4 linked regions of the Xenopus tropicalis genome follow. The protein of the gene in region 1 purifies or fractionates together with the protein of each later gene. This does not show direct contact. Links are inferred from orthologs where the notes say so. Each region holds a gene or a part of one and is shown in the gene's direction. Other genes may lie near its edges. The genes, in order: mybbp1a, npm1, lyar and sirt7.

Region 1 (5,704 bases):
GTCGCAGGAAGCCATTAGCATTAGAAGCTGTAACTGACAGACTGAGAAGGGACAGTCAGGTTTATAGGGACTTCCAGTAACAATTACTTACAGAAGCAGCCCTATAAGTGAAAAACGATCAACATGAACTATATGTAACTTTTAATGTACATTCAGATTTTGAAGAGTAGTTTTTTAGTGTCAGTATCACTTTAATTAGTCAGTGGGTTTTTGGGTACAAATTGTAGATTGCAAGCTCTTTTGGGCAGGGCCCTCTTCACCTCTTGTATCGGTTATTGATTGCTTTATGTGTTACTCTCTATGTCCAATGTATGTAACCCACTTATTGTACAGCGCTGTGGAATATGTTGGCGCTTTATAAATAAATGTTAATGTAATGTAATACAAATGTTTCCTGTAACTGGTAGCAAAAATAGACACACTGACTATTTGATGAATAAATGATAAGTAGGGGCAGAAGAATGTTTACATGGCATTCCCCAGTGTATTGGTGTTCCTTTGCAATTAAGTGGCAAGGAATGTGCTTCCAGTTTACACAGAAATTCCTGGTAACTGGAAGCAATGTTTTTACAGTGGGAACTTACCTTGGCTCACAGATAACTACTATTCCATGGGATCTGCTCAGGGTTAAAAGCAAATGAAATGCTAAACACTCCATTGCTTCCACCTGTGGACGAATGTAAGAATATTTGTAAGCGCTGTTCCATTCTCAAAATGTTGTAATTTGTTTATATTCCATAGGAAGATGAACTAAAGTACACTTTTAAAAGGCTTGTAGAAGGGTTAGCAGCAACACGTGAAGCAGCGCGTCCTGGTTTTAGTTTGGCCTTGGCTCAGGTATGTACATTTATTTTGTGTGTCGACCACATTGCTTATTTCTCATGTGTTACTGGGGACATCGATCATGAACATATTTTGCTTTCATTTAGTGTATATTTTTTCACTGTACAGTATATGATCAGCAGATACTGTGGCTGAGCATGAAAATGTAAATCTCAAGAATAACTTACCAGAAATGTTGTTTTGTATACACCACACTATTCCAGATTTGGTCAGTTTGTGACCATCAATAAATATATTGTTGTGATAGACTAGGTAGCTCACCAAAAGTCCTCCAGCTGCTTTGTTTAAACCCTCATCAGCCAGATGTTTGTGTGCATATAGAATAATTTACCCCAGCTTTGTAACTTGTATGTAGTCCCCTGGTCTCAAGCAATTAACCGTAATTTATTTCAAAGGTTCTGCAGAGTTTTGAAGAAATTCCATTATCTAAAGTATTAGAACATATCTCTGAGAAACATAATCTAGAGCGGTTGAACAAGGTAAGAATTCTTATCAGTTTAACATCAGTTCAGGCTTACTGATGGGTTTTATTAAAACCCTCTATTTGGCAAACTCTGGGCATTATTAATGCAATTGTAGATGTATAGTGTTTGTATTATTTAAAAAGATCATGCCATCTTAAGTATTGCTCTGTTACTAAACGTTTCTGGGATAATGCTCATTAGGGTTGCCAAACTAAATATTGCCTATATTATGAAAAACAAAGAAATAGTTAAAGTATTTGAAATGGTTAGTTCACCTATAAATTAATTTTTAATATGGCATAGACACTGGTATTGTGAGACAGCTTGCAATTGGTCTTCATTTTTTTTCAGTTGTCTTTGAATTCTTTTGTTCATTAGTTTTCCACTTTAGAAGTTCAGCAGCTATTTGGCTGCCATGCTGTTTGTGTGTTTGAGAATACACCGCTTAAGTGGAAAATTGGTTGCAAAATATGTTCAGTAACATCTGATTTTCACTCCTAAACATTTCTTTCTAGAAAGTACTCCGAAATGCTGCCTTTGGGAATTTTTTCGGTGTCCTTGCACTGTTTCAGTCTGGTCGTCTTGCCAAGGTAAGACATTCTCCTTTGAGGCACAGCACAAAAAAGAATGGAGGCGCATTATTTTGGGTTAGCCAAGTACATGATTGAGGGTTCCTCCCCAAAAACTTGTGTGTGTGTGTTTTTTTTGCACTCTGCTAATAAATTATGTAGAGCGCTGTCTGACACATCAAGGGTACACTGTGCCGTGTTTTTTATGCTGTAGTGAACTTGGGCTTCTAAAAGCTTTTGGGTATGTTAAGTGTCAGTGCTTCATAGTAAATACTACAAAGCAAGTATTATATTGCATTCTGGTACAGCATTTGGCCAGGGCCTCCCCTTAGTTTATCACATTCTTACAGATATATAAAAATGTTGCTGTTATGCAACACTTTCAAGAATAGTTTCAAGAATAAGCAAATAAACTCACATCTCGCCCTAAATGATTCTTTGTTGGAATTCCAGGACTATTTTAGAGAGCAACAGACAGTCACCCCCAAAGTGGTCTTTAGGCCCACAGAGGAGCAATTTTCTTAGGGTCATACCACATTAGATCTAGTATACGCTTAGGGCAGTAAGCAATACAGTTAAGAAATACATTCAGTGGTGACACAGCCATAAATCTTAATCCTTTGTCATGAAACATCATAATCCATGTTAAGTGTGCAAAACCTCTTCACAAGTCAGTTGAATTGTCTAAGCACAAGAGAAAGTTGAAATGTGTGAACTGTTTATATCCAGTATCTCTGCTGCAGTCTTAGATGGTTAGTGCTATCTTAAAACCCCTACTGTTTCAGACCAGGTTACTCTTAAGGTGGCCACACATTTGGCGATTTCCGATCTTCGCACGAAAGATCGTTCAATCAGCCACTAACGTTCAGGGCTGAAACGGCAGATAAGGAGGTAGAAACAATAGGATTTCTACCTCCTTCTGCCGATTCAGCCCTGAAGGCAGATTTTGATCAGGCGCCTTCTATGGCGCCCGATCAAAATCTTTTAACCCGCCCGAACGGTTGACTCACCGACTTGCCATACACGCACCGAATATCGTACGAAACAAGGTTTTTGCGTGTATGGACAGCTTTAGCTGTTATGTAAATAAATAGTGATGATATACTGCTAAGTTTGACTTATCCTTTCAGTGAGTGGGAGAGGCAAGCAAAAGCATATCAAGCAGTGTAAGCTAGTTTTAATATGAAAAAGTTTCACAATTAAGCCCTTGCGAATTGTTTTTATTTTTAGATTGTTTAGTATTTTTACGCTTTTAATACACAATATATTTTTTTACAGGATCCAAAAGTCCTTTTACAGTGTGTGCAAATATTGCAAAACATTGCTCAATATAAGGAACACTTGAAAGATCTGCCCAGGAAAACACTTGTTGACATTCTCTCAGAGGTATGACATGCTGGTTATAATGTATGATAAATGTTTGTGTAAGGAAATGCATTTGAACATTGGTGTGTTTTTATTTTTGCACAAGTTGGTGCATCGATGATGGGTTTTATCAGATTTTCAGCCATGAAAAACGACCAAGCTTCATTTCCAGATTTAACTGTATAATGTTATCTAGATGGGAATTTATGAAGATTATGCTTTTTTTTCACTTTAACAGCATACAATGCTTAAACTTTCTCCTTGGCAGATTCCAGAATCTTTATTCGAGGAAGTGTTGTTTGGAGTACTTCGTGCAGACCTGACATCAGCGTTTAGTTCTCCAGAGCAGCTGCATCTGCTGCTGGTTGGAATGCAGAAATTTCCAGGGGTTCTAAAACCCAAAAAATTGAAGAAACTGCTTGGATCCTCTGTGATAACTACACAGGAGAACATTCCTAAGTATGGTTTTCCACAATTTTATACATTTGCAATATAGTTATTTTATCAAAGTCAGCTGTGTAGTGATCTATTACATTTCATGTGTTAAGGAGATATTTAGTGGTAAGGGTAACCTCGCACAGTGCACAGTGTGTGTATAATGCAGTTACAAGTGGGATAGAAAGACACAAAATACTGGCACACCACTTGGCGAATATAAAAGAAATCTTTATTAATTATAATTAAAATCCACAAGTTACAAAATAGGAAAAGAATAGAAAAATTAGGAGTTAAAATAACAAGGGGCAATCTTAGTACCTCTACATTTACACATGGTCAGAAGCAGACCAACTAAATGTTCTATTAGCGGCTGGTATTTCTTAGTGTGGTGACTAGGCTAGCAAAATATTGTAGATTCCTAAAAGTATATATATATATGTAAAATTATATATATATATAAAGAACTACCTGCAGAAATTTCACATTAGTTCTGAGTATATCAGTCAGGCTCCTGTCCTGTATGAAAAACCGTGTAGTAATGTTACGGCTGCATTCGCAACAATTGTTGCTAATGCTGTGAAATATTGGGCAGCTCTGCCTGGCTGTTTCTAATGTGGTTTAAACATTCAATAATGTTGCAACTTCATTCGCAACTATTGTTGCTAGTGCTGTGATATATTTGGCAGCTTTCCCAGTTGCTTCAAATGCAGTTCTAACACTGGGAAAAAGTTTCCACATCGGAGGTAAGTATATCCTAAAGAATCCTGCCTTAAAGAGTAGCTCAAATTAATCCAACAAACTTTATAAGAGGTTGAAAATTACCTCAGTTTGATTATTTTGATAAATGAATATATTATTAATATTTATGTTTTTCAGATTATAAGTTAACGGCGCAAGTGAATCATGGGTCCTAGAAGGTAAGTATATCAAACGTGTGGGGTAGTTGTGGGTACTTCTATCCAAGCGGGAATTGCTGGGAACTTCACATTGGTCCCAGTTCAACCACGGCCAGCAGAATAATCTGCCCTACCTGAGTACCCGATACAGCTCCCCACAAGCAGGCACCTGAGTAAGTTAGCCCCGGCTGGGCACCCCGAATGACTTAAGTCGTATTGAAACGGTAAGTTATTAATTCTGAGTTATTACCCCCTCTATCTCGCCCCTATGGATACCAAGTAGTCAGCCTAAGAACAAATTACCTCATCGTGCCTACTACCACATATACAGGTTACCTCGGCACGACTACACAAAGTGGTACATAAGATTCGCCTTGACAAAGCTATGAGCGAAACGCGTGTCGGCGTTCGCAATCTTATGTACCACTTTGTGTAGTCGTGCCGAGGTAACCTGTATATGTGGTAGTAGGCACGATGAGGTAATTTGTTCTTAGGCTGTACGTGGTTGTTGATGGTTAGATTTATTTAATTCAGTATTAGCAACTGGAGTATGTCCTCTATGCAGCTAGGCTGACCTGTGTCGCTGTTGTTTGTTTCAGTAAATCAGGCATCCTTATTTCCGTGCATTGTTGTATGTAGTCGTGCCGAGGTAACCTAAATGGGTAATGGTAGGCACGACGAGGTAATGATATACAGGTTTTGGTGATCGCTGATGAACGGCGCATATGTGAATGCTAGTATAGAAGTAAAGACTTCCAGCATATCCTCATAAGAACAGCGAAGGGGCACTCTGGTCGAACTGTTACTTTTGGAGTTTGTATTCTGGTACTCTGTGTCTCGCTCTCCTCGTATTTGGTCTCCCTGAATTTGATTGTCTGGTAATTATGGGGGCGAGATAGAGGGGACAATAACTCTGAACTAACAACCTACGGATACAAAATCATTTGAGATACCCAGTCTGTAGCTCCTGATCTGAGTCGTTATTTTTTGAGCTCCTAATTCCGGTTTCGGGTGGCTCCCTCTTCCCTTAATTGGTCTCCTTGGATTGGACTATTTGGTATCCATAGGGGCAAGATAGAGGGGGTAATAACTCAGAATGAATAACTTACTGTTTCAATACGACTTAAGT
Region 2 (6,137 bases), on another chromosome or scaffold:
AGGTAATATATAGGCCTTAAGGTTGAACTTAATGGATGTGTGTATTTTTTCAACCTAACTTACTATGTTATTGAATTTGATTTAGTAGGCTTTAAGCGAATTAAGGTTTCATTGCAAGGGAGTGTTCCCTTCTATTACCCACTAGTAATTTTAAGGGGGAAACTACTTTTCAGCCTGCTTAATAAATATATTTGTTGATATTGAAGTACAGTGGGTACATATTGACTACATATAGTTTTGAGACATAAAGTCAGTACATGTTTTGAGAATATAGAAAGGCAATCTGTGTTGTAGGTGCTCTTTTTGTGAGAAAAAGTCCAAGCAGGTGATTAAATTGTTTGTAGCGCCCTTCTTTTCACCCCTCTGATTCAGTTGATAATACAAAATAGCAGCTATGAGGAAGAGCGTGACTTTGACATTAGCGGTAGAAAAACCTTTAGAAGAGTTAGCAAGCGATAAGATACTTGAATACATTGAAAATCACAATGCATGAACTTGAGAAAGGGTCCTTTGTGGCCCGAAAAATGTTGTGGTTAATAAACAGTTGTTTGCAGCAAAGTACTGCGGTGGCTTGTGCTCGTCTCACTTCAGTAAAGATTCCACAATACTGTAATTTGTGCCACTATGGCTTTATGAGCAATAGATCTTGGCAGACTAATTTAACTTTCTTCTATGAGGAACCTAGACTCTCGGATGGCAGTAGATTTACTTAGACTTTGCTAAAGCATTTTATACAGTACTACACAGAAGGATACTCCTTAAATTAAGGAATATTGACCTAGAACATAAAATTTGCATTTGGATAGAGAACTGGCTGAAGGATAGATTACAAAGAGCGGTGGTAAATGGAGCAGTCTCTAATTAGACCAGTGTCAGTGGAGTACCGCAGGGGTCAGTCCTTAGCCCTTTGCTTTTTAACTTGTTTATTAATGACCTGGAGGTGGGCATAGACAGTACTGTCTCTATCTTTGCTGACGACACTAAATTGTGCAAAGCTATAAATTCCATGCAGGATGCTGCCGCTTTGCAGAGCGATTTGACTAATCTGGAAAACTAAGCCTGTGTGCACATCCTGTGCCTGGGCCCAGACAGGGCTGATACATTACTGGATAGCAAGCGGTGTAATTCCTGGCAATGTCATTCTGTGGCTACTAAAGCAAATAAAGTGCTGTCTTGTATAAAAAAGGGCATTGACTCAAGGGATGAGAACATAATTTTGCCTCTTTATAGGTCCCTGGTAAGGCCTCACCTTGAGTATGCAGTGCAGTTTTGGGCTCCAGTCCTTAAGAAGGATATTAATGAGCTGGAGAGAGTGCAGAGACTGCAACTAAACTGGTAAAGGAGATGGAAGATTTTATATTCTAAAGTATATTAATGTGTGTGCTGTATCGCACTTTAAATAGGGGTACAATCTCTCATATAAATGCAGCTTGTTTAGGAGAGATCATCTGAAAATACAGAGGTTTCCTGAACCCCTATGTGGCTCCCAATAAAAGGGCTAACAGATCTTTCTTAAACCCCAATGAAAGGGCTAACATGTTTCCTGAATGGAAATAAAAAGGCTAAAGGTGGCCATACACAGGAAGATCCGCTCGCTTGGCGATGTCGTCAAGCGAGCGGATCTTCACCCGATATCCCCACCTACGGGTGGCGATATCGGGGAGGCATGTAGGTGAGGGCCAAATGATCGAATTCTGCACGCGGCAATGGGGCATACGGTTCGGGGACCGCATCAACGAGCCGATGCGGTCCCCGAACCGACGGGATTTTCTAACCTGGCCGACCGATATCTGGCCAATTTCAGGCCAGATATTGGTCGGCCAGTCCGCTCGTTTCTGCCCCTACACGGGCCGATAAGCTGACGAGTCGGTCCAAGGGACCGATATCGGCAGCTTCTATCGGCCCATGTATGGGGACCTTAAGGTCCCTATGTATATGAACATTTTTAATTGACATTAAATAATTTGATTGGCATTAAATACACCTTTCAGATCCATTTTTTTCTTTTTAAAACCATTCCACATTTATTTTGCTAGGCTGAAATTAGTGTAAAAAGTAAAAGTGGCCTATAATCAAAGCCACACCCATAGCAGAAAAGGCACTGCCTCAGACTAGTATCTCACTTTCCATATTATATCAAAAGCAGTTTAAAACCAGTAAACATGTCTAAAGCCCGCATATGAGAACGTTACTAAAATTAATTATTACATTAATTATACACAAAAAGAGTTCAGGGATAGAGATCCCCTTTAACAATCTCTGCTATGGACACAGGCCTACACAACGTGAACTCCTTGCCATTATCTTACAAACAAGCACATGGTGGGTCACGTTAAATTCCTATAAACCCACAGCTCGTTTTGCGCAATCACATACCTCACAGCAGAACGTGTTTAGCCAATCGTAAACTGCGTTACTTGTTTGAGGGAAAATAGCCCCGCCTTTCTATGGCGTGAAATCTCGCGAGAAAAAGGCCCGTACATATAGAGACACGTTGCGCGCCATTAGTTCTCAGAATCCGTCCGTGCCGCTGTAGAGTAGAGGGGGTACATCTGAATTGAATTGGAACAAAATGGAAGACTCCATGGATATGGATAGCATTGCTCCCCTGCGCCCTCAGAATTTTCTCTTTGGTATGTATACAGTACCAGGGGTTTTGAAACTCGGCCACGGGTTTTTTTTGGGAAATATTATATAGACGTCACACGTTCCGCTGACTTGTTCATGGCTCCCCGGTGTCCTGCTTTTAACGGGACAGCCCAGTTTTGCGTCACTCAGCCCGCTGTCCCGGGCTTTTGTTGGAATGTCCCCGCTCCTTCCTCACGGTTAGACTGCTCCTGGGCGCAGGAGCCGAAAGCATGGATTCATTGCTGCTGCCCTTTGCCTTTCTATGGCTCCCCTCCTGCTACCACTACCACATTATGTGGAATATAGATTCCTTCTCCCTCCCCCAGGTACAAGCTGCACCAAATGAATGCTCTTTAACTGCTTCCGCCTCCATCTCTCCTTCATATTACCTCCCTACCCAGAGTTATCCTAAACTTTGAAGCCAATATTGCTCCAGTTTATCATCTATAATACCACCTATATCTATAATACCACCTGCAGGTTCTGTTAGCTACAACTCCCTGCACCCATCAATATCTAACATACATTGTACAGCTCCTATTTAGCTACAACTCCCTGTAACATGTGCCATTGTTTCAATATCTCCACGTGTAAATAGCCATGTGCCTATCAGCTGGAGCTGCCATTCTTACCTCTGCACTTATCATCAGGAAGGAAGAGTTAAATATATATAGATATATATAAAATAGTCTAGATAGATATATCTATCTATCTAATCAAATAGTTAAGAATTTTAAAACTAATTTCCTTTTTCTCTGTAATAAAATAGTACCTTGTAATTGATCCCAAGATATAATTAATCCTTATTGAATGCAAAACAATCCTATTGGGTTTAATTAATGTTTTGTTGATTTTTTTAGTGTATTTAACGTATGGAGATCTAAATTACAGAAAGACCCCTTATCCAGAATACCCTTGGTCCTGAGCATTCTGGATAACAGGAGATAGATAGATATAGGTAGATATATTCTCGATAGATAGATAGATAGATAGATACAGAGATATATCTCAGGTTCTCTATAGAGAACCTATCTCTGTATCTATCTATAGAGAATATATCTACCTATATCTATCTCCTGTTATCCAGAATGCTCAGGACCAAGGGTATTCTGGATAAGGGGTCTTTCTGTAATTTAGATCTCCGTACCTTAAATCCACTAAAAAAATCAATAAAACATTAATTAAACCCAATAGGATTGTTTTGAATTCAATAAGGATTAATTATATTTTGGGAACAATTACAAGGTACTGTTTTATTACAGAGAGAAAGGAAATCTGTTTTAAAATTCTGAACTTTGATTAAAATGGAGTCTATTGGAGACAGGCTTTCTGTAATTTGGAGCTTTCTGGATAACAGGTTTCCGGATAAGGGATCCCGTACATGTGTTTCAAAATAAATAAAAAAAAAATACACACAAGTGCCATAAATATCCCATAAAAGATATCTTTATAAATGGTGCCTGTTCATGTAATTTGTCACATGACTTGCATAAACTTGTGTATTGTAATAAAGTACCCACTGTTGTAAAATGAGGATATTCGAAGTCACCTTGGAGTTGGGCTATGGAATGTCTGATTTATAACACATGTAACACTTTTTTTGGCTGTAACCCAGCCAACTATGTAGAAGGGACCAAACCGAGCTATGGTGTAGTGCAACTACAACCCACTGTAGCTGTGTGCAGTTCAGAATAACAAATGAGAGCCAGAAGGTTCTTGCAGTTGAACAATAGAATCAGTTTATTGTTAGAGATATGCATGGTTATATATCAATATGCAGGGTAAGTGTAATATACTCACAGCAGTTTAGCATAGCATTTCTCTGCAGACAGCACAGAGGGTGCACATCCATTCCTCACAACTCCTCTTGAGTCTGGCCAGGGTCCGTGCCACTGGTTCAGTTTATCCACCCTTTGGAACAGTCAGATTGGATACCACACTCCTCAGGTTGAACACCTCTAGCCCTCAGGCTCCCACAGCAACTCTGGATAAGGGTTCTGATACTGCCTGCCTTCTATGTCTAAGGGCTCTGGCACACTGGGAGAGCCCTTAACCGTGGCCCTACGCTAAGGCAACAGTGCCTGTCTGGAAGTGTACTTCCAAAACTACTTTATTTGGTGGAGCCAAACTGCCCTTGCTTCCTTCCCTCACTATCTCGCTTTCCTAGAAAGTGCTCAACACAACATGCTATCTAACTGGTCCTCATTCACAGGGTCCCTGTCACTGACTTCTCTAGAGTCGATGCAGACTCTACGGTAATCACTTTACTGGGTCCCTGTTGATCCCAGGCTCAGTGGAACTTCCACCTGGGTCAGCAGATGGAGCCAAAGAGAAAGCCACACCCCCCTGCTAAGCACTATATCAGTGTGCCAAGGGAGTGGTCTCCCTGGTAACCAATAAGGCACATATGCAAAACTCTAAACTGATACATGGGTCTTTGCCCAGTAACTGCACAAGCCAAGGAAGCTGCAGGGTTTAAAGCCATAGGGGCATGTTAACCCTATAGGTCCCTACATGTATTTTTTTTTTTTTTTTTTTACAGTAGAGGGGACTTTAATCACTATTTGACGATGCATGGAGGTACAAAGGGCAATGCATTGTAAAAGTGAGTTCTTCAATAGGTAGAAAGATGTACATATAAAGCAGTTAGCCCATGCAAGAGGTAGAGGGCTCTGTCTGAAAGAGCTTACAATCTAAGGTAAAATATGTGGCATAGAGCATGGAATTTAATAGAACATTTCTTTAGAAAAGCTTGAGAGTTCTTTTAAAGGCAGGAAGACTGGGAGACAGTTGGACATCATGTGGGAGTAAATTCCAGAGAAGAGGGTGCAGCCCTAGTAAAGTCTCATTTGTGAGGAGATAATGAATGAGGTGTTGCATTGATCAATAGAGCGTAACAAGCAGTTTGAGGAGTTCAGAGATGTAGAGCGGGGCACAGTTTTGAAATGCTGCATGTTGGTGCTTCTTTAGGCAAAATGGTGATATGGGATAAACACACAGTGGCATGGATTTTTGTATGTTCTTCCTGTGTCCACATGGGTATCTTTCCTGTCTTATAGAAACATACAGGTGGATTAATTGGTCATATGTATATAATAAACACTATTGTGATAGGGACAGACTAAGCAGTACTAGTGCAGGGACTGATGTGAATGGTGTGTAATTTCTAAGAGCATTAAAATATATTGGCACTATATAAGTGTTTTAATAATCTAGTATAAGTGTCTCCATAGACAAAGGGATGCTTTAAGCGCTATTTCATAATGAGCTTAATTAGGTCTTGATCTGAATACTTTTCTTTTAATAAAGAAATCCGTTTTGTTATTTTCAGCAATAAATACACTTAATCCAGTTTCACTTTAGTACTTCCTGTCAGTTCTGGTTCTGACAAGCAGATGGACTGATATATTTACCAGTCCACTGAGAAGCCCTCTGATGAACTGCTCAAAGAGTGTACTTTAAGGGCTCTGGCACACGGGGAGATTAGTCGCCCGTGACAAATCTCCCGT
Region 3 (6,327 bases), on another chromosome or scaffold:
GATTTTGCAGGAGCTGAAATGACAGAAATGACAGTATATATGGGGGTATGTTCACATTCGGGCCCCTACATGCCACATACTTGGGTAAACCTATACATATTGGGCATCAAACTGTTCAGTGGACCCCTGGTGTTCAAATTCAGGGTGTTTTATCTTGGTACCTAATGCTATGTGGGAGATAAGATGCTTCAAAGTGGAAGCTTTGAGGGGATTTTTGGAAATGTCATCAAAATTGCTAACTTTAGAAAAGCTGTGCGGCTTGGTACTTTGGAGTAGAAAGACATGGGTACCCATTTTAGATTCGGGGGAATGTGTACTTTCCAAAAATATATGACTTTCTGGGGTGAGCGTACTTTTTTGTAGCTTTATCCCACATATAATAATGTAAATGTGTTGATTTTGCAGGAGCTGAAATGACAGAAATGACAGTTCATATGGGGGTATGTTCACATTGGGGCCCCTACATGCCACATACTTAGGTAAACCTATACATATTGGGCATCAAACTGTTTAGTGGACCCCTGGCGTTCAAATTCAGGGTGTTTTATCTTGGTACCTAATGCTATGTGGGAGATAAGATGCTTCAAAGTGGAAGCTTTGAGGGGATTTTTGGAAATGTCATCAAAATTGCTAACTTTAGAAAAGCTGTGCGGCTTGGTACTTTGGAGTAGAAAGACATAGGTACCCATTTTAGATTCGGGGGAATGTGTACTTTCCAAAAATATATGACTTTCTGGGGTGAGCATACTTTTTACTAGCTTTATCCCACATATAATGATGTAAATGTGTTGATTTTGCAGAAGCTGAAATGACAGAAATGACAGTATATATGGGGGTATGTTCACATTCGGGCCCCTACATGCCACATACTTGGGTAAACCTATACATATTGGGCATCAAACTGTTCAGTGGACCCCTGGTGTTCAAATTCAGGGTGTTTTATCTTGGTACCTAATGCTATGTGGGAGATAAGATGCTTCAAATTGGAAGCTTTGAGGGGATTTTTGGAAATGTCATCAAAATTGCTAACTTTAGAAAAGCTGTGCGGCTTGGTACTTTGGAGTAGAAAGACATGGGTACCCATTTTAGATTCGGGGGAATGTGTACTTTCCAAAAATATATGACTTTCTGGGGTGAGCGTACTTTTTACTAGCTTCATCCCACATATAATGATGTAAATGTGTTGATTTTGCAGAAGCTGAAATGACAGAAATGACAGTTCATATGGGGTATGTTCACATTGGGGCCCCTACATGCCACATACTTAGGTAAACCTATACATATTGGGCATCAAACTGTTCAGTGGACCCCAGGCATTTATATTTAGGGTATTTTATTTGGTTACTTTATGACCTGTAGGAGATAAGATACTATAGACTAGAAGCTTTGAAGCGATTTTTAAAAAAAATCACAAATTTTGATAAAAACCAATAACTTTAGGAAAGCATTGCAACTTGATAGTTTGGAGTAGACAGACAGTTGTGCCTATTCTGTATTCCCCAGAATCTGTTCTTTCCAAAAATGTACAATTTTCTGGGATAAACCTTCTGTTAGTGGAATTTTGGCCTTGAAATCCAAAGTATGCAGTTTTTTTGGAGCAGTGCTTTGGGAATTTGGTAGTGTACTGCTGGGAGTTTTTGACCTATACAAGTGAGAAATCTCCATAAAACTATATATATTTGGTATTGGCACGTTCAGGAGACATGGGACTTTCCAAATCAGTTGTATATTCGTGCATAAAATAATTTTTGTTTCTAGTATGTGTGATTATATTATGGAAAATTTGATTTTTTTTGCATTTTTAGACATTTAGAAGCCTATATCTTGTTACAGAATTGGAATTACACAAAAATTCTACCATATTTTGAAAGCTTAGGTTGTTCTGAAAAAAACGATATATTGTTTTCCTTGGTAAACTAAAAGTCCCCCCGAGGAAAGGCCCCTAAAGTGAAACAGTGCAAAATGTTCAAAAACTGTCTGGCAATACAAGTTCCGCTTTGACCAAAATGGCTGGCAGTAAAAGGGTTAAGTGTGTGTGTGTGTGTGTGTGTGTGTGTATGTATATATATATATATATATATACGAGGTTGTTTATTTACATATACTATTACATTTGGTGGTCATTCCGGACTGAGCCCCTTACCGTCTGTACGTACGGGCACTGAGGCCCCTCTGGCTCTATCCCTGCCGCACCAACATGAACCCATCAACCGAACGAGTCAAGACTTTCGCCGATAGGTACGTCACTTCCGCCCTCAAGGTCGCGGCGCTGGGAAGCCGGGCGGAAGTGGCGTCACAGTAAATAGTCTGCGCAGTGCGGGAGCGCTACACGTGGGTATAGCTGGCGGTACGGTGGGAGAGAGGCGCCTTAGGCTATAGTGGGACTGCTGCGCCGAGCCCGGGAAGTGGGAGGTAAGGGGTGCCCGATGCAGCGGGTTTCTGAACTGCAACTCGCACAAACTGTAAGATCTATAGAGAGAGACACTATGGGTGTGCTGCTGTTAGACTAGCACTGTGTGTGTGTGTGTATGGGGGGCTGGGTATGGCTGTGTCAGCTAACCCCATGGCATCAGGGGGATAACGATCCTGTTTCAGCTTCGTTTAAATCCTAACGGGATGGATCAGTTATCTCAGTACCCTGTGCCCCCAGCAAAGCCCCCACACTAGCTCTTCTGGCAAAACTGTGCTGTTAAAGGGCATCTAAATGCAAAATATAAACTGGCCTTACTGACAGTGCTCATCCGAGCTATAGTACATAAACTGGCTTCTGACTCTCTCAAGAGACTGCAGGGAGAGCACAGCTGGGGTTGCTGGCACTTTTTGGATCCAAAAAGCTTGGGAATCAGTGTAAAGCTGCCATTATCTCAGTAACCAGTTTAAACTGGAAAAGTGCTCACAGGACTTTAACTTCATTTTTGGGGTTAAATCTCTTTAAGGCTGTTATTACACCTGGCAGTCTCCCCAAGTAGCCAGTGATCACCGACTCAGGGTATCAGACTGCACTAGTGCTCTCCATTAATGTAAAGCTGCCAATACAAGTAGAGAGATTTCCATATAACTGGTGAACAGCCAAAGGATTTTTCAGTAGCTAGAACACCGGAGAGTTAAAATGAACAGAAAGGTAGGGCAGCGGATTGGCCGTGTGTAAAGGTGCCACTTGGGAAGCAGTATTGCTAGTGCCACACAGGGATGATTCTTGGCCTGTGGAGAAAAAATGAAGCAGCGTGTGGAAGCGGATCTACTTCTCTCAGCCTGACGGATAAATGCTAAATGAGAGAAGTGGACAAACCGCTCCCTGTGTCCAAGTCCTTAGGGTGAAGACACACAGAGCTACTTAGTAGCAGCTACTTCTCACGGCTACACCAGAAAATACTCTGCCATAGACAATACTGAGAATTGCCTCTTGTAAAACGTAGAGACAATTATCAGCATTGTCTATTTTAGTAGCTGCTACTAGTAGCTCCATGTGTCTTCACCCTTAGGGCTCTGGCACACGGGGAGATTAGTCGCCCGCGACAAATCTCCCTGTTCGCGGGCGACTAATCTCCCCGAATTGCCATTGTAAGTCGCCGGTGGGATGGCACACGCTGCGCAGGCGATTTCAGCAAATCGCCGAAGTTGCCTTGCGAGGCATTTTCGGCAATTTGCAGAAATTGTGCCGCCGCGTGTGCCATCCCACCGGCGACTTACATTTTCGCCGGTGGGATGGCAACTGATGGTAACTCGGGGAGATTAGTCGCCTGCGAACAGGGAGATTTGTCGCGGGCAACTAATCTCCCCGTGTGCCAGAGCCCTTAGAAACATCACCTTTGCCACTACCTTATCAGATTAAGCACACTTGATCAGAGATTATCGTCTGCCTGAACTAAACTGATTAAAGCAACAGTAACACCAAAAAATGAAAGTGTATAAAAGTAACTAAAATATAATGTGCTGCTGCCCTGCACTGGTAAAAGTTGTGTGTTTGCTTCAGAAAGTCTACTATAATTTATATAATTAAGCTGCTGTGTAGCCATGGAGGCAGCCATTCAAAGGAGAAAAGGCACAGGCACATAGCAGATAACAGATAAAACACTATTGTATTCTACAGAGCTTATCTGTTATCTGCTATGTAACCTGTGCCTTTTCTCCTTTTGTTCCAGCTTGAATGGCTGCCCCCAGGGCTACACAGCAGCTTACCGTATATACTCGAGTACAAGCCGAGTTTTTTAGCACTAAAAATGTGCTTAAAAAGTGAACCTCGGCTTATACTCGCATATATACGGTATCTGAATTAAATGCATAGCTGCACGCGCCCTAACTTGCGTGCTGACGCGTGGCATCGTTGCCGAGCGGGGGCTTCTCCTTACAGGTATGAGCATTAGGGCACCGATCTGTAGCGCCGCTTTGTGCCATTTCATTATTTTATTGGGGTATTTGCTGAGCTCTCAGGGCACCGATCTGTAGCGCCGCTTTGTGCAAGTTGAAGCTGCTCCAAACTAATGGCGCCTCCAGCCCAACAGCGCAGAGCAAGGGAACGATGTGCGGGCTGAATGCACAATTACAGTTTACATTCTTTTCTGCAGGTAATTCCATTCTTTGCTACAAGGCTCGGCTTATATTGCTTCCAATGAATTATTTTGACATTGGGAATGTCACATCCCTCAGACATAAGGCAGATATTATAGGAGGGGTGCAGGCACTTTCACATAAGGATTTCCTTGTATGCCCCCCATATTGCCAACAAAGGGGCCATAAAGTGGGGTGCAATCCAATGCAAACACCATGGTTCCCACTTTCAATGGAGCCCCACAGAACAGTAGCTGCACGCAGAGGCAGTTGTGCCCTACATACCCATCCATAGGCGAAATGGAACAATATATATAATTGCCCCTTATTGGGGGCAGAACAATCCTATTGGGTTTATTTCATGGTTAAATGATTCCCTATCTTGCTCCCTTCCCATTGTTCTGCTGATTGGCTGCTGGGGGTGAGGGGGGGATATCACTCCAACTTGCAGCGCAGCAGTAAAGTGTGCCCGAGTCTGAGCTTTCAGAAGGAGCCAGCGCTACACATTAGAACTGCTTTCAGGTAACCTATTGTTTCTCCTACTCCCATGTAACTGGGGGAGTCCCAAGCTGGACTTGGATTTCTTACTATTGAGTGCTATTCTGATACCTACTGGGAGCTGCTATCTTGCTCCCTTCTCATTGTTCTGCTGATCGGTTGCTGGGAGGGGGGTGATATCACTTCAACTTGCAGTAGCGGCTGCATTTCCCACCCTATAGGCTTATACTCGAGTCAATAAGTTTTTCCAGTTTTCTTAGGTAAAATTAGGTACCTCGGCTTATATTCGGATCGGCTTATACTCGAGTATATACGGTATTATAAAAATTATAGTAGTGTTACTGTAGCAAACACACCAGTTTTACCAGTGCAGGGCAACAGTGCATTATATTTTTATTACTTTAAAGCTCTTTCATTTTTTGGTGTTACTGTTTCTTTAAAATTGTTAAACCTTGCCTCATTGACCCAGCAATATGCACCGTACTAGGATGTCTATCAATTGTTCCTTGGGTCCACATGTTCCAAAACTCATACAAAGCCTCATATCTGACAATTTTTTTTTTTTACTACTATTGTAATGTTTAATTTTTCTGCAGAACAGGATCATACGTAGATTGGGAACTTGCATCCATGCATTGAAAATAATGGCACCCAGAAATGTAGAATATGTGACACTGGCACTCTGTAACTTGAATGTCAGGTCAATTGTGCAATCGTTGGTCAGTTGGCATTAGTTAGTTGCGTATGGATTAATTGCTAGCTATGGGTCTGCCAGGACATTAACTAGAATGTTTTCTCAGCTTACTAACGGCCCACAAGGCTTATGACTTTCTTAACTGGACTAGTAGTGAGCAGGTATTCTGTATGGTGGTCACCCTGTGGCAATTTCCCATTGCAGACTGGTGCTGTGCTCACATGATGCAGATGTGAAACTGACTAACTGCCTGAAAAGAGACTACGGTACATACTGACTGGCGCTGCCCAGCAATTTTATACATGACCCAAAGCATAATGAGCAAACCCATAGACTGTAGAACTTAGAACGTATTATATTTAATAATTGAAAGTATGTTTAGCACATGCCCTGGAATTCATTGATTCCATGTTTATAGGGGGGAGGGGGGTTATGCTGCCTCTTTAATAAGGTTATTGGGACTGTGTGATACAGAGATTGAGAATCCATCTTGGATTAAGTACGTTTTTCCCCCTTTAGGTTTTCTCTTGGAATCGAAGCCTTGCTCTTGTGTAGGTCACCATGGTATTCTTTACTTGCAATGCCTG
Region 4 (4,580 bases), on another chromosome or scaffold:
TGGTCCAATACTGAAGTACAACAAGTGTGTAAAACTGATTACAGCTCCTGTAAGCCCCACTCCTATGCTGGGTATAAAAACCAAACAAACTACTACATGGAAGTGCAGCAATATAAAAAAAATTATTATAGTATGTTGTAAACACATTCACACCATCAGTTAACTGTGCGCCTCCCATAAACATGTATATTTAGTGTAAACATCTCTGTGAGCAAGGGGGGTTTGGGGATATTGAATATCCAGCAAATGAATCAGTGAGCCTGTCTACTCATCGGTAGACTGCACTAAAGCAAATTTCATACTAGGCATGAGGAAGTAATGGCTTGCCAATAAGCATGGAGCAGAAAAAAAATTACATATAGTGCAAAAAATGTTAATGACACACCCTTTGCAGTAAAGGCCTCATAAATCCGAAAAGATGCAGGCATAGAAGTATAAACTAGCAGCTCTATGCATTTTGTGTGTTATTTACCACATTTCTTATGTAAGTAGCTGTATGTGATTTTCTGTCTTCTCTGCACAAGGTGGAATTTCCTGGTTGCCATGAAATTCTTTTCAGATTGTGATTTTGCCAACGTGTATACATTCTGGTGAGGAGACAGACTCACTGATTCACTTGCTGGACATTCAGTATTCCTACACCCTTTTCTCACATAGGTGCTTTTACTGAATGCACTGTATATGTATTTGAGAGCACTAAAAAGTAAACTATGTTTTTTTTTTGTTTTTCTTGCACTTCTTGTATTATGTTTTTACTTAATTATTTGAGTTTATTATTATTTATATATTTTCTATATACAACATTATATTTTATATTACAACATTAAATCTTACTGTGTCTTATTTCTATCCATGGCTTTAGATGTTTTGCTGTGTTTACACATCTTTTTTAGGTCCAGCATATTGTGTCACAAAATTGTGATGGGCTACATCTTCGTAGTGGGTTACCAAGAGAAGCCATCTCTGAAGTTCATGGAAATATGTTCATTGAGGTGAGCTGAGGTGTTTCTGTGTGAATGAGAATCTGAGCTCCTGCTTGGGCTGCATTTACCCTTGTAATCGGTCAATCTGTCTTTTTTCCCCCCATTTATAGGTCTGCACCTTATGTTCACCGCAAAAAGAGTATGTGAGATTGTTTGATGTAACAGAACGCACAGCTCTTCACAGGCACAACACAGGGCGCTTCTGTCACAATTGCGGTGCTGAACTTAGAGACTCCATTGTTCACTTTGGAGAACGGGGGAAGCTGACACAGCCATTAAACTGGGAAGGAGCAGTGCAAGCTTCTGAGAAAGCTGATGTAATATTATGTCTTGGTTCAAGTCTAAAGGTAAATTCAAGTATGTAAACTTTAGCTATTACCATCATTTAGTTAGCTTTTCTTTTCTTATCTACCACTCCTGTTTCTCTATGACCACCTTTCAGGTCCTGAAAAAGTATAGCTGCCTCTGGGGCATGAACAGGGCTCGTGCACGTCGGCCAAAGCTCTATATTGTGAACTTACAGGTGAGTGTTGGCCAGAGAGTCGTTTCTGCAACACAGTCTGGATCCTCGTAACCCTCCATTTTCTGTTTCTTTACAGTGGACCCCTAAGGATTCAGTAGCTACCCTTAAGATTAATGGCAAGTGTGATGATGTTATGCAGATCTTAATGGAAGAATTGAATTTAAATGTTCCTGTTTATGACCGGTAAGTGAAGTTATATCTCTGCATATGTGTTTATTTCTAGCTCTGATGGTGTCCACCTTACTTAGTAAAAATAATTTTGGTAGAGAACTGTAGTGTCAAGGCTTGTTTAATATACTAGTAACACAATAGCTGCTTAAAGAAGCCTTGGAAACAGGCAAGTCTGTTATTTGCTGCAAATTATTTTCATATAAATCCTTAGTAGTAGTATAGCATAGTATTGCTTCCTAGTTGTAGTTTTTATAAATTTTTAAAATAGGGTTGTAATTGCTTTGTATAATAAATTGTAATGTCTTTAAATTTCATTAGTCTGTGGATAAAATGCCCAGAATTTTGTTTTGTGACTTGCAGTTTGCAGCTTGGCTCCCATCCTTCTAAATACTTTCCTGTGGGCTTATATGGCTGATCCCTTAGCATAAGTGCACAGATGTAATGAATTGAATTCTTTTTTCTGGTTTTCTTATTAAGCTAATCAACTTTGGGGCAATTACACCAGGGGCTGATCATCAATAAAGGTGTTTCTCTTTGGCCAAATACATAATTGGGTGGTGACCACACCATGGAAGTATATGTGTCAGCATTCAAGCGAAGTTTACATTAGTTAATAATTAATGAATGATGAATACAGGATGAGCTATGTGCATTATTGATAATTACCCATATTGCAGGTCTCAGGATCCAATATTCTCCTTGGCTGTCCCATTGCACTCCAGTGAAGAACAAAGCCATACTCGAAAGCCTATAAAGACTGCAGATTCACACAACATAATACCTGAGCAGGAGCAGCCTGTTGTTGAGCAGCCAGTAAGTGGCGGCTGGTTTGGTAAAGGATACACCAAGGGTCGGAGGATGAGAAGATGATGAATCGAGGGGTCTCTCTTCCCTTAGTAAACTTGCACATCTGCACTATATATGGCTGTTTGCACAAACAAAAAAATTAAGCTGTATAAAATGTTCTTAAAAGATATTTTATTTTCCTAAAGTATTTTTTTAAACTGCAAATATTAAGTAAACATTGAAAATCTGTTTAAAGCTGCTGGCAAAAAGCACTGTGCTCAATTATATTCGCCACTTATAAGTTGAATACTATTTGTACAAGGACAGGCTGGATTATATGGTAAGCAAACTTACTGGCTCAGCAGGAATAGTTTAAGGACAACAAAAATACAAACAGGGTTAAAGGAAACCAGCAAGGGAAAGGTTCCTGAATCAGGATCAAAAACCAGGAACAGGATCAGAGTGCCTACCTGGCAATCAGGAACAAGGTCAGGGTGCCCAAGCCAGCAGGGTCACCAGAAGGTACAGAGACCTAGAAACTGGCGAGGTGAGGTGGGGAAGACAATAACTTTTCCATTCAGGACTCCTCACTTTCCCCTTCCTCTGTAACCAGTGCATGAGTTTAGACATCTGGTCCCCCATTCTGCCACATAAACATTATTTTGGCATGATGCAAAGCTTGCCTTACTAACAGTGCCCACAAAATGGCGCCTGCCTACTTGTTGTGATTGTGAATTCCAAGACTGAAGGAAAGAAGATTTATATTATTTCTATATATAGAAATATATATTAGTGTAAGTTTATTTTGCTCAAATGTTAGAAACACAGTTGGAGTTATTTATTATGGTGACAGATCCCCTTTAAATAAGGGCTCTCTGCTGGGAGCTCACCAGGGATTGGCTGCACTAGGGATAGCCATAAGAACTTCAGAACAGGGTAAGCCTATACATCTAACCTCCCTGAATAGGAAAGAGGTAATGCAACAGGCAGCAACGTACCAGGTATCTGATTTAAACCCAATATAGGAATAATACGTTAAAAGTGGCAGAGGGATACTGACCCCTTCCTTCCTCCTTGGTGGAGCCTTAGCTGCTTGGTCTTTTAACACCTAAAATGAACTGCAGAGATCTGGCTTCTCCGAGGCAACAAACTTCAGACAGCCTGGCATCATATATTCCATTGTCATCGGCAAAAGAAAAAATAGTCTACTGCTTTCCCCCTTATATAGATAACCTAAGGCAATTCACTTCCCTTCAGAGTAACACTGAGGAATCGCATGCGCAGTAGAGTGAAAAGCCGACTTTATATTTTAAGTTTGGCTTTTTCACTCTACTGCGCATGCACGCGAAGGCAAAAAAGCGATCGCAGCTACCCTGAGCTGGTGCTGTTCTCTCTGAAAAGGGGCACCAGCCCGGGGTACAAGGTAAGCGATTTAAAGGAGAAGGAAAGGCTAATAAAGAGTTAATCCCAAGCTGCAGGCATGCCTTCAGTTGTCTCAATAGTGCCCTTAAGTCTCCCCATACTTCACCCGTTCAGAAGATCAGAAGCCAAACAGAAAAAAAACGCTGAGCTGGGTAGAGAAGATTTCCCATAATGCATCGCTCCCCCCATGGAGACGCAGCGTCGCCGAGTTCTCTGACAAGCAGGAGGAGGAAGGGGGAGGGCGAGCTGGTGCTGAGAGCGAGCAATTGTTTGTGGCAGGAGCGGGGGTATGTGGGAGGAGCGGGGGGGGGGGTTTGTGGAGCTGCAGAAACTTTGTAAGCAGGGAGCTGGCTTGTGCTTTTCAGCCCATAGAGACACGCTGGACAAGATGGCGGCGCCGTTCACTGAAACAAGCATGTAAGTTCTAGTATGTGTATCTCTGTAATTTTTTCATTAGGCAAGCCAGGAATATAGCGATTTTACACAGCAATAGTAGTACTATTTAATAGTGTGCTTAATAGATTTTGCCTTTCCTTCTCCTTTAAGTCACTTGTGGGTTCCTAACATTTTGGCACCCCCAAGTGGTTTTCCTTCTCCTTTAACCCCTCTCACAACCATGTGTTCTATTGATTTGGAGCCCACATACTGGAGGGGGTGGATGGGACTAGAGAGCCTGAGGTAGCTGGTATCAGTAG

What was found.
Region 2: the proteins of mybbp1a (region 1) and npm1 purify together in Homo sapiens (affinity purification with mass spectrometry; 3 studies listed by BioGRID and IntAct, counting the BioPlex papers as one, with this or other methods). This does not show direct contact. The link is inferred for Xenopus tropicalis from reciprocal best matches to the Homo sapiens genes MYBBP1A and NPM1.
Region 3: the proteins of mybbp1a (region 1) and lyar purify together in Homo sapiens (affinity purification with mass spectrometry; 3 studies listed by BioGRID and IntAct, with this or other methods). This does not show direct contact. The link is inferred for Xenopus tropicalis from reciprocal best matches to the Homo sapiens genes MYBBP1A and LYAR.
Region 4: the proteins of mybbp1a (region 1) and sirt7 purify together in Homo sapiens (affinity purification with western blotting; 3 studies listed by BioGRID, with this or other methods). This does not show direct contact. The link is inferred for Xenopus tropicalis from reciprocal best matches to the Homo sapiens genes MYBBP1A and SIRT7.

What each region holds. Positions count from the first base shown.
Region 1 is NC_030678.2:100,984,581-100,990,284, forward strand, and holds part of mybbp1a (myb-binding protein 1A), read left to right. Parts: intron 1-741; coding exon 742-837; intron 838-1,238; coding exon 1,239-1,322; intron 1,323-1,822; coding exon 1,823-1,897; intron 1,898-3,154; coding exon 3,155-3,262; intron 3,263-3,509; coding exon 3,510-3,700; intron 3,701-5,704. UniProt on the Homo sapiens protein: May activate or repress transcription via interactions with sequence specific DNA-binding proteins. Repression may be mediated at least in part by histone deacetylase activity (HDAC activity).
Region 2 is NC_030679.2:20,061,054-20,067,190, forward strand, and holds the start of npm1 (nucleophosmin), read left to right. Parts: upstream 1-2,520; 5' UTR 2,521-2,572; coding exon 2,573-2,633; intron 2,634-6,137. UniProt on the Homo sapiens protein: Involved in diverse cellular processes such as ribosome biogenesis, centrosome duplication, protein chaperoning, histone assembly, cell proliferation, and regulation of tumor suppressors p53/TP53 and ARF.
Region 3 is NC_030677.2:26,336,032-26,342,358, forward strand, and holds the start of lyar (cell growth-regulating nucleolar protein), read left to right. Parts: upstream 1-2,311; 5' UTR 2,312-2,412; intron 2,413-6,259; 5' UTR 6,260-6,301; coding exon 6,302-6,327. UniProt on the Homo sapiens protein: Plays a role in the maintenance of the appropriate processing of 47S/45S pre-rRNA to 32S/30S pre-rRNAs and their subsequent processing to produce 18S and 28S rRNAs. Also acts at the level of transcription regulation.
Region 4 is NC_030686.2:27,953,935-27,958,514, reverse strand, and holds the end of sirt7 (NAD-dependent protein deacetylase sirtuin-7), read left to right. Parts: intron 1-893; coding exon 894-992; intron 993-1,093; coding exon 1,094-1,330; intron 1,331-1,425; coding exon 1,426-1,506; intron 1,507-1,582; coding exon 1,583-1,689; intron 1,690-2,354; coding exon 2,355-2,547; 3' UTR 2,548-2,722; downstream 2,723-4,580. UniProt on the Homo sapiens protein: NAD-dependent protein-lysine deacylase that can act both as a deacetylase or deacylase (desuccinylase, depropionylase, deglutarylase and dedecanoylase), depending on the context. Specifically mediates deacetylation of histone H3 at 'Lys-18' (H3K18Ac).